Linked DNA regions of Solanum lycopersicum. The protein of the gene in region 3 binds, or shares a complex with, the protein of the main gene of each other region. Links are inferred from orthologs where the notes say so. Each region holds a gene or a part of one and is shown on either strand. Other genes may lie near its edges. The genes, in order: cleavage and polyadenylation specificity factor subunit 3-I, cleavage and polyadenylation specificity factor subunit 1 and cleavage and polyadenylation specificity factor subunit 2.

Region 1 (3,135 bases), on a different chromosome or scaffold from region 3:
TCCATAGCACTTCACTTCTACCTCAATATCTGAAAAGCATCTTTGACTATTAATAAAAGACAAAAGGAGTCAAATTGGCAAAGATACCATCATTCCACAAGGTTATTAATGGGAGGACATAGACAATATTACCATGACTAAAAAATTCAAATTTCCAAGAAAATAAACATCAGAGCTAATATGATGGAAGTATGAGAGTAATGACTTGGTAGTTTCTGTGATAAGGTCAAATGGGTAAGGAGTTCTAATACACCGATTCAAGAAATAGCTGCATGGTTATGACACAAACACCCTTTTCTAGTTTCTCCTCTCATAAATAAACTAAGAAGATCATGTAACTACATAAGCATACTCACAGAACCTAAGACAACAGTTCTTTTTTTTCCTTCCTTATTTGTGATAATCGAGAACTCCCTGAGGACATGAAGCAAGGTTTGGAACTAGGTGGGTAATGGGTCTGCCGCTCTATCCTTCTCCACTTAATATACTGGGCTTTTTTCTGCAGTAATGTTCGAAACCATGATGTGTGCCTAATTCACGTCACGTGCTATGCTCTTACCACTAGACCAAAGCCCCGGGTGCACCTAAGCCAATAGTTCTAATGAGCTCAACAACAACAAACTGGTCAATAACAATTCCAAAAGAATGAAAAAGGTTCAACTTCATTCTTTTTTGAGGATGGAAAAGAAGAATTTTGTTTAGCAGGAAATAGTAAGAAAAGAGTAGTTCAAGGCTAACGATGCAGGTGCATCACTGTGTATACTCTCTGACATTCATAAAACATGTATTTCTCCAAGGTTGCAGATGTTCCATGAGGTATACAAAAGCATATCCAAAGCCCGATCCATCCCTCTTGTTTCAGTAAGAATAATGTTTCTTATATCCAAATAGCATATTCAAAGCACGATCTAAGACTCCTTCAGCTAAATGAAAAGCACAGTCAAACTTCAATAGCTTCTCTAAAAGACCATTTAGTGTAAGCTACACATAACACTCATTCAGGACAGCAAACAAGGGAAAGCCAAAAATGTCCAATAGAATTAAATTTTCTGCAGCACAACCATATTATGGTCCAAGGAGATCAAATAATAGAGTCAGAATTCAAATATCCAGGTGAAGAAATAATATATTTGAGTTGCTTTCATATCCAGCTTGTAGGCAGTAGGCCAAGGAAACTCTTTTTAGGGTTCGTGCTCCCACCACACCACCAAATTAGTTTCACTATCACCCCACCGTCCCTTCCCTTCACTACACCCCCTCACTCTCCAGGCCACCACAATCTATTACTTTAGCAAATTAGTTCTAATCAGGAAAAGAAATACAAATCAAATTAAATTTTTATTGGTTCTATTTAGACTTAGAGCCCGTTTGGCTTAGCGGATTTTAAGTAGCTTTAGTACCAAAGTGTTGAAAAACACTTCTTTTAATGCTGCAGCTGAAATTTCAAATAACCAATTACATGTTTGGATAGAAGTGCTGCAGCTGAAAATACGGGTGTGTATGGTAAAAAAGGTGTAGATAAACACCTCTTCTGTTGAAAAGACCCGAATGCCCTAAATACTGCTAACACTAAATGAGCTTAACGGCTTAACCTAAATGAAAAGAAGTACACATAGGGAAGCTCTTTATAGAGAAGCCTGCTCTTTATAGAGAAGCCTGACCAATAAAATTAGTGATAATTACTGAGAGGTTCTAGTTATTAAACAGTCATTCTGAATATTTAATTGAACCATCAATATTGAGACATTCTTATCTGATGGATCAATCAAAATATCTAATCACGATCACCCTGCCAACAACTCATTGTCTGTCATATCACTATTTCAATAATGCTAAAATTTACAATCAAAATAGCAAATCTAACAATATGATAATCCACCCCTAGGCCCTATCTAATTTCAATCATAATCACCTTTGCCAACAACTCACTGTCTGTCAAAACACTAGTTCAACAATGCTACAATTTACTATCAATATAGAAAATCAAACAATATGATGATTCAACCCTAGAAATTCGATAGCATGTACTCTCATATATCATAATCTTAGACCAAGCAACCTCCAAAAGTCCTGATTACAAGTTTTTTTTTTGTTGTCGAAAGCCATATCCAATGTGCAAACATGAGGGGAATCTGCAAATATTATGAAAAATATGCAGAAAACCACATCTTTCTTATCTTCTATATTTCTCTAAACATTAATTGGGCAATATAAACACACCAACAATTATACCTTATTAAATATTAACCATTATTCAAGGGATAAAACCTTATGCAGGACTTGAAAAAATCCTATACAGAAAAGGGTTTTTTCTTCCAAAAAGCTTATAAATAGAAGGCTAGATATCCACAGTGTTATCCAAGACAGAAGAACTTCCAAGAGGTCTACATGTGGACCAGATGTACAACACAGACTAGTAATGGAGTGAAAATACGTTGTTCAGTGTAGAACCTGTTTTCAAACCAAGACCTCACAAGAGTATGAATCTATAATCCGAATGACTAATCATACAACTGCGTGAAGATTAAGCATGGGATGTTGAAAACAAACCTCAATTTTTTCCATGGAGTGAAGAATGTCATGTTCATCAAACAACATATCTTCAACAGAGACTTTGCTAACTTTAACATAATCTGACAAAAGCAACTTGTATATTGCCTTTGTGGCATGTGTCATGAAAACACGCCCCTTAAATGTAGTCTGAACATAAAAAGAACCCATATGAACCAGCAAATAAGTACTAAATGTACAGAATAAAAAGACCATGAACCCCTGAATAAACCTTTTCAAGAAAATAAGGAAGGGATGCAGCATGATCCAAGTGAAAACTGCAAAGCATTAGAACAAGTTAAAGTGAGTAGCCAAGTAAGATAAACAGGAACAGAAACCAATAAAATAAGAATAAAAAAGAAACAATCAATGAACGGTCAACAGTTATAACACGTGACAAGGGACTCGATGGCCACTGCAGAGACAACTAACGGGTGCACAAGTAAGTTGCTCAAAATCAGAACCACATAAAATAGATAATAAACTGAAACTTGATCCAGCCCACACCATTCAACCACTCCTTAGTCCTCCCACTGCTCAATTAAACAATAACAATAAATAGTGGGAAAAAAAATTATTCTATCC
Region 2 (3,660 bases), about 1.2 Mb from region 3:
CTTGTCTAGTTGTAAGAGTGTAGCTTGTGATGTGCATGCCACAAGAGTCTCAACCTTACTGTGAACCAAAAACATGGTATTTAAGTGGAAGAGGGTAGAGGGGTGGACCCAATATCCTCCAAATTTTGGATTGTGTGCCAGCTGGTCATCAGGGATATCTTGGTTACAATATTTTTTTTATTGTTGTTGTCACAATGGAAATTGATATTGTTGAACTCTATTTGACGAGAAAAAATTAATTGACTTCTATTTTTTTTTTCTTGACAAAAGGTAACAGAATTGACCTCTATTTCTTTCATAATCTTAATCATTTCCTATCTAATTATTTTACTGGCCTAATGCATAGGCAGCCCCTAAACTTGGCAGGATATTTCAGTTAGAGACCTCAACTAAAGACTCGACCTATTTAATACCTGAATAATACTGAAAATGTTCCGATTGAACACATATTTTCTTATTCTAGACAACATAAAATGCATGAATGCAACTCGCTATGGCAGAAGCAACCAATAATACAAAAGCAGGTTAGCAAAGGGAAAAAAGTCAAGATCTGAAAAGAAAAAAAAGAAAGAAAATGAGTTGAGTGAATGAAGCTCCGGTGCTCTCCCTTTCTGACAAAGTCACAAATCTGTTGAGTTCAAAGGAATGTTTAAAGATTTTTTTGACAGCTTAGACAGCAGCTACCAATTGTCGGATAAAACTCTGTTTAAATTCAGCCATTTTGAACCATGGGATGGTCTTCAAAACTCAAAAATCTTCTCTGTTGACAAGTTGCTTGTTGGAAAAACTGGTACTTTCGGCTATTTTGGAAACCTGGAAGTGATGGAATCTACTACGTCAAATCTGCATACAACTACCAGAATAGGGAAAATGCACATTTGACCCGTCGCCATGGAAGTTCATCTGGAAGACCAAGGCCCCTTACAAAGTCTGCTGTTTTTCTTGGCTTGTAGCAAGAAAAGCATGTCTCACTCAGGAAACTTCAAGAAGGGGATTTCATCTATACTCTGGATGTCGCATGTGTGGTGAAGCCAGAGAAAATAATAGTCGTCCATTTCTACATTGACCTAACTCCTCTAGATGGACAATCGTGGCAACTTTTTTTGAACTTGGTAGGACTAAGATGGTCTATGCTAGCAACAAGCTGTGATATATTGAAGTGCTGGAACTATGATGGTAGTGCAGTGTGACAAAAGAAGTGGTGGAAACTTGTCCCAACTTGTATACGGTGGACAATTTGGAAGGAGAGGAGATATAGAATTTTGAAAGACTAAAACAGTTCTGTGCAGAGAGTCAAGATGAATGGTATTTTTTTTGTTTCATTTTTGGTGGAAAGAAACTATGTAGAGAGGTTCAAAACTCAGCGGAGACAAAAAACAGTAGGTGATTCTTCCGATATATTCTAGCCTTGGTGGACATAGTTACCTTGTACCTGGTGGGAGATGACAAATATCCTGTTGAATTAGTTGAGGTGCGGACACCATAGTCATAAAAAAACTATGTAGAGGAGACTGAATCAATAGTTGTCATGATAAGTTCCTTCTGAAAGGGTAGTCTTAAGCAAGCTTGGGTTTTTGTAATTGTAAGAAGCACTTTTATGGTGCATATCTAGTATGTATTTATATACACAGGGTCACACACATGTTACAAGTTTCAAAAAAATGCAACTCAAGCTCTTCCATTTGGTAACCCTCCCACAAAACTTAATGTGTTTTTACCATGGAACTTTTTGAATCTTGAAAATCCTTTTTCTCAGCAAGCTTCGATCGGATGATATGTCCATTCCTGTCCTGCTGAGAAATCACCTATTAGCCATCTTCTTTCGTACTCTCTTAACAACCCTCACCCATACAGGAAAATCATGTCTGTCCCAGCATGTATCTGGTGGACAATCTGGAGAGAGAGAAACAATAGATGTTTTGAGAGCAAAAGTTGTGATCTTCAGAAGATCAAATTGAACCGTATCAAACTTTCTTGTTTCTGGTGCAAACAGATGTACCTAGACGACACTGGGTCAATTATTGAGATCCTTGGCTCTATTTAGATTTTAGATTCAGATATCCTGTTTTATTGAGAAGTTGTAATTATGGTTTTTAGTACAACCTACTTAGAATAGGAACAGGTATAGAAATAGTATATAGAATCCTACTTGGAAAAGGATTATAATGTAGTGTCCTAGTTAGAAAATGAGTCTAATGTAGATAGGGTCTCAATGTAATAATGTAGACGCACAATTCAATAATATTCTTCTCCTATATGTCTCACATCCACCATCTGCAGTTACCACTGTTGCCAGTTTGAACTTTGACATGTGCCTTTATGCAGGTTATATTGAGCCTGTAATGGTTATCCTTCATGAAAGGGAACTCACTTGGTCTGGGCGCGTCTCTTGGAAACACCATACTTGTATGGTCTCTGCCTTTAGTATTAGTACAACGTTGAAGCAGCATCCACTGATATGGTCAGCCACTGTAAGTTACAATGATCTTTGTTGCCAGCATTATTTATATATATTCTTATTAGCTTGAAGGAGAGAGAGAGAAGAGGCAACAAAGAAAGGAGATCACTCCAGTAAGAGCTATTTCTTGATGATGACTGTATCACAGTTCTTTCTATTTTGGGGTTTGGTTTGGTGAGGGAAATAAGGTCAAGAATGCTGCTTAAGTTAAGAAGTTCTATCCTTCCGTTTCATTGAGGTATCACTGTAATTACACTTGATGACAACCTTTAGCTGATGAGCTCATATACTAATTCTGGTCTTGTTTGTCTTCCTTCTTTATTGTGTTTTCTTTTTTGTCAGTCAAATTACAATTATTTCCCTCAAAATATTTTCCTCATATCAACAACCTAATAGAAGAGCTTTTGAAGGTATAGAGATGGACTTTCTAAAATTGAGCAGTAGTCTCTTATCCCTAATTTCTTTTTGGTGCATCCGTGGAGTACCAGTTTGTGTAGAAGATTGGTGAAGTTTGTAGAAAACCATTTTGTTTTGTAGTTTTCTACATTTTGGAATACCTTTGGTATACATGCTTTTTTTTTCCACCCAAATGTTAATACAACTTGTTACCTTGTCAAAAAACAAAAGAAAACAACCTAAACCCGGAGTAACTTTGTTGTTGCCACTGATTAGTCATTTCCTGTGGGGCAAATATTTCTCATCTTTTGTTTCCTGCAGTACAAACCACATTACTTAACAAAAGAACCAAGAATTTATTTTATTTTGATTTGTTTGCTTTTTTTTGTTAAGTCTGTTAAACAGTAATTTTGAGCTTAAGGTTCTATAGTGTGGAGCACAAGATGTTTCAAGCATGGCCTCGGTAATGAAAATGTGATTCCAACTTATCACGAGAGAGTTGATTTGGTGGACAGCGGGTACTAAAAGGCTGATGATTCAAATATATATCATGAAATTTCAATAAAAAAATTTGACGAGAATAATGCAAAAGTACTTTACCTCTTTAAAGGGGTCGTTTGTATGCGGGATAGGATAAGCTAGGATACCCCATGTGATTATTTTATCCCACCGTCTATATGGGATAGCAATCCCATCATTTTAGAAAAAAGGGGGGTTACCATATGGGATTAGCTAATAGCTCAAACCAATCATGAGGTAAAGTTAATCGCAAATCCTATGCGGAATTATCATCCTTATCCCATGTA
Region 3 (2,918 bases):
AACAATTCGAGTCGAAATTTTTGAAAGTCTCACATAATTGACTTAAATTTCCTGCAAAGACTTTGATTTTAGTTTTTTTATTTTCACTTTAAAGCTAAAATGATGACTGATTATCCTTAGTCTGAAAAATTCTGGAAATGAGGGTTATAGTTGTGGAAGCAATGGTAATAGCGTCTGCAAGGGACTAATTGAATCCATTCTGTCCTCCATTTGAAAAAAAAGAAGTGATGCATCGAATTATGATAAGAGGATGTGACCTAGTGATCAATGAAATGGTTGAGAACCTTGAAGTCTCAGGTTCAAAACTCAACGAAGAAAAAAAACATAAGGTGAATCTTCCAATTTGTCCTAGCCTGGTGGACGGAGTTACCTGGTGGTACTATGGGAGGTGGTAAGTATCCCGTGGAGTTAGTTGAGGTGCGCGAAATCTGGCCCGGGCACCACGGTTATCAAAAAACTAAAATGATAGAGGGTCTAGTATTAGCTGATTAGTATGTTGTTCAGTGTTCACAATGCTCAATACAGTAATGACTTTGTATCCTTTAATAACAAGGATTAGTTAGTTCATGTTGACTACAACTTCTCCTGGTTCACTTTTTTCTTAATTGAAGTTGGTATTTTTTTATTAGTAGTTTAAATAGCAGATAGATGGTCATTTTTGGATACTAATGTTTATATCTTTCTGCTTTTGACACCTATATAATATTCATTACCTGAACTTTCTGCCTGTTTTCCTATCAGTTAGTCTATCCGTGTCCTACTTTTCTTCTTCAACAGTGAAACAATTAGTTCTTTCAACTTCAACTAGTTGACTTGTTTTAATAGCTATTCTGTTTTATAGGTATTGGTGCATGGATCAGCTGAAGCCACTGAACATTTGAAGCAACATTGTCTGAAACATGTTTGTCCACAGGTCTATGCTCCACAGTTGGAAGAAACAATTGATGTAACTTCAGATTTGTGTGCTTATAAGGTTAGTCTACTTTCTTTGTATGTGCCTTTTGTGGTTTATACCTGTTTAAACAAAATACTAGTATAACATCCTTGGTCTATGTTTGCTTCCATGATAGGTCCAACTTTCTGAGAAGTTAATGAGCCAAGTGCTTTTTAAGAAGGTAAGCTGGATATATTATGTATGACATCAATAAATGATTCCTTTACGAAATTTCTGCCACTTTAGGCTCTTGATGCATTTATAGAAGCAGCTGAAGTTAGTAATTTATGCACATCTAATTAAAACAAAAAGTTACCTAAGCACACTTGTGTCAATCACCCTTCATGTGTTGTATAAATGGATTGATGGAGTTTTTATCAAGGTACTCTTTGTTAAATGTTTTGTACATTTGCAGTTCAGTAGCTATCTTTTTGTCCTTGAATGTTGAGGCTCTGTACACTCCACACACTACAATGGGTTAGACATTTCAAGTGTTTGTACTAAAGTCTTCGGTGTGTAAGACTTTATGCTCCATTTGATCAGGAAGCTGCATACAAAGACTAATCTTGATCATTATTGTGTCTGTGTTTTCCCTTTGTCCTTGCTTAATTGTGTTCACATTTGCTATTGTAGCTTGGAGACTATGAAATAGCATGGGTTGATGCTGAAGTGGGGAAGACGGAAAACGACATGTTCTCTTTACTTCCTCTTTCCGGACCTTCTCCACCCCATAAAACAGTTCTTGTTGGAGATTTAAAAATGTCTGATTTCAAGCAGTTTCTTGCAAGCAAGGGCGTTCAGGTCTTTTCTCTTTTCTTTTATGTTATATTTTCTACTACTAATCATGATTTGGCTTTAGGTTAGCAAAATGTTGAGACCAGCTATTTTCATTTTCAGGTAGAATTTGGTGGTGGGGCTTTACGTTGTGGGGAGTATGTCACCATTCGCAAAGTTGGAGATGCTAGTCAAAAGGTGACCGCTTTTGATAATATCATCCAAGTGTTCTTCATATTATTAGCAAAATGAAGCCTTTTTCTTGGCATACTAAACTTCTGTTTGAAAATTTCTTGTAGGTTGGAGGTGCAGCTATTCAGCAGATTGTGCTTGAAGGTCCATTATCGGAAGAGTACTATAAAATTCGAGAGTACCTATATTCACATTTTTACTCCCTCTAAATATGAAGAGCAGAGTAACTTTTTGTACTTGTAACAAATGCAGCTTTCCTTTTTGTCTCTTTTTTCTCTTCTCTTGAATCTTGACTGGCTGTTTTTCTAGTAATTTGTAACTTATTGTCTCATTGGTTTCGAAAAGGTCACAATTGTTAGAATTTCCTGCAGGCTATGTAGGCTGTTGTATTTATGCTAGTGGAAGTTGATGAAAATTTAGAATTACTCTTTTGCAATTAAAGTACCCCGAGTTGAGGTTAGAATTGAAAAACACAACTAAATTTAGAAATTTTGACCATACAAAACTTGCATCCCTAGTTGAATTATTTTGTTGAGAACTTTACTGTTTCTTTTATTTTTCGATAACAATTCCCATGCAACAGGTTTTTTAATTAGAGGATTGAATTTGGGCCCATAGACCCTCCAATCGGTAGTGAGCAGGGCATTTGTGACAACGATATACGAGGGCATTGCTTGAGGCAATCTATTATCGTGCATGTGGGACGACATGTGCTATCTGGTGTGCTAGCAGGACAAGGTGGAGTAGAGGCAATCCAGAGGGCTACTTGAGCCACTACATGTAGCAGAGCACCAATGGGAGAGTGTGGCCATGGACTATATCACTTCCTTACCTAAGTCTGACGGGTATGGAACAATAATGGTTGTGGTGAACATATTTTCGAAATGTGCTACTTTTATGCCTGCAATAGTCGGTTGCTTCAAGAACGTGGTTAAGTATTGGGGGCTATCAAGAAATATCATCATCAGGGATCAAGACTGGAAACTTTTGGAGGGAGCTATTTGAGATACTTCGTACG

Evidence for each region.
Region 1: cleavage and polyadenylation specificity factor subunit 2 (region 3) and cleavage and polyadenylation specificity factor subunit 3-I share a complex: the UniProt entries of both Arabidopsis thaliana proteins name them as parts of the CPSF complex. The link is inferred for Solanum lycopersicum from reciprocal best matches to the Arabidopsis thaliana genes CPSF100 and CPSF73-I.
Region 2: cleavage and polyadenylation specificity factor subunit 2 (region 3) and cleavage and polyadenylation specificity factor subunit 1 share a complex: the UniProt entries of both Arabidopsis thaliana proteins name them as parts of the CPSF complex. The link is inferred for Solanum lycopersicum from reciprocal best matches to the Arabidopsis thaliana genes CPSF100 and CPSF160.

What each region holds. Positions count from the first base shown.
Region 1 is NC_090806.1:62,064,460-62,067,594, reverse strand, and holds part of cleavage and polyadenylation specificity factor subunit 3-I, read right to left. Parts: intron 2,829-3,135; coding exon 2,783-2,828; intron 2,701-2,782; coding exon 2,551-2,700; intron 1-2,550. UniProt on the Arabidopsis thaliana protein: Component of the cleavage and polyadenylation specificity factor (CPSF) complex that play a key role in pre-mRNA 3'-end formation, recognizing the AAUAAA signal sequence and interacting with poly(A) polymerase and other factors to bring about cleavage and poly(A) addition.
Region 2 is NC_090802.1:2,563,789-2,567,448, reverse strand, and holds part of cleavage and polyadenylation specificity factor subunit 1, read left to right. Parts: intron 1-2,325; coding exon 2,326-2,471; intron 2,472-3,660. UniProt on the Arabidopsis thaliana protein: CPSF plays a key role in pre-mRNA 3'-end formation, recognizing the AAUAAA signal sequence and interacting with poly(A)polymerase and other factors to bring about cleavage and poly(A) addition.
Region 3 is NC_090802.1:3,726,820-3,729,737, reverse strand, and holds the end of cleavage and polyadenylation specificity factor subunit 2, read left to right. Parts: intron 1-841; coding exon 842-973; intron 974-1,070; coding exon 1,071-1,115; intron 1,116-1,567; coding exon 1,568-1,735; intron 1,736-1,831; coding exon 1,832-1,906; intron 1,907-2,007; coding exon 2,008-2,109; 3' UTR 2,110-2,405; downstream 2,406-2,918. UniProt on the Arabidopsis thaliana protein: CPSF plays a key role in pre-mRNA 3'-end formation, recognizing the AAUAAA signal sequence and interacting with poly(A)polymerase and other factors to bring about cleavage and poly(A) addition. Required for antisense-RNA-mediated gene silencing.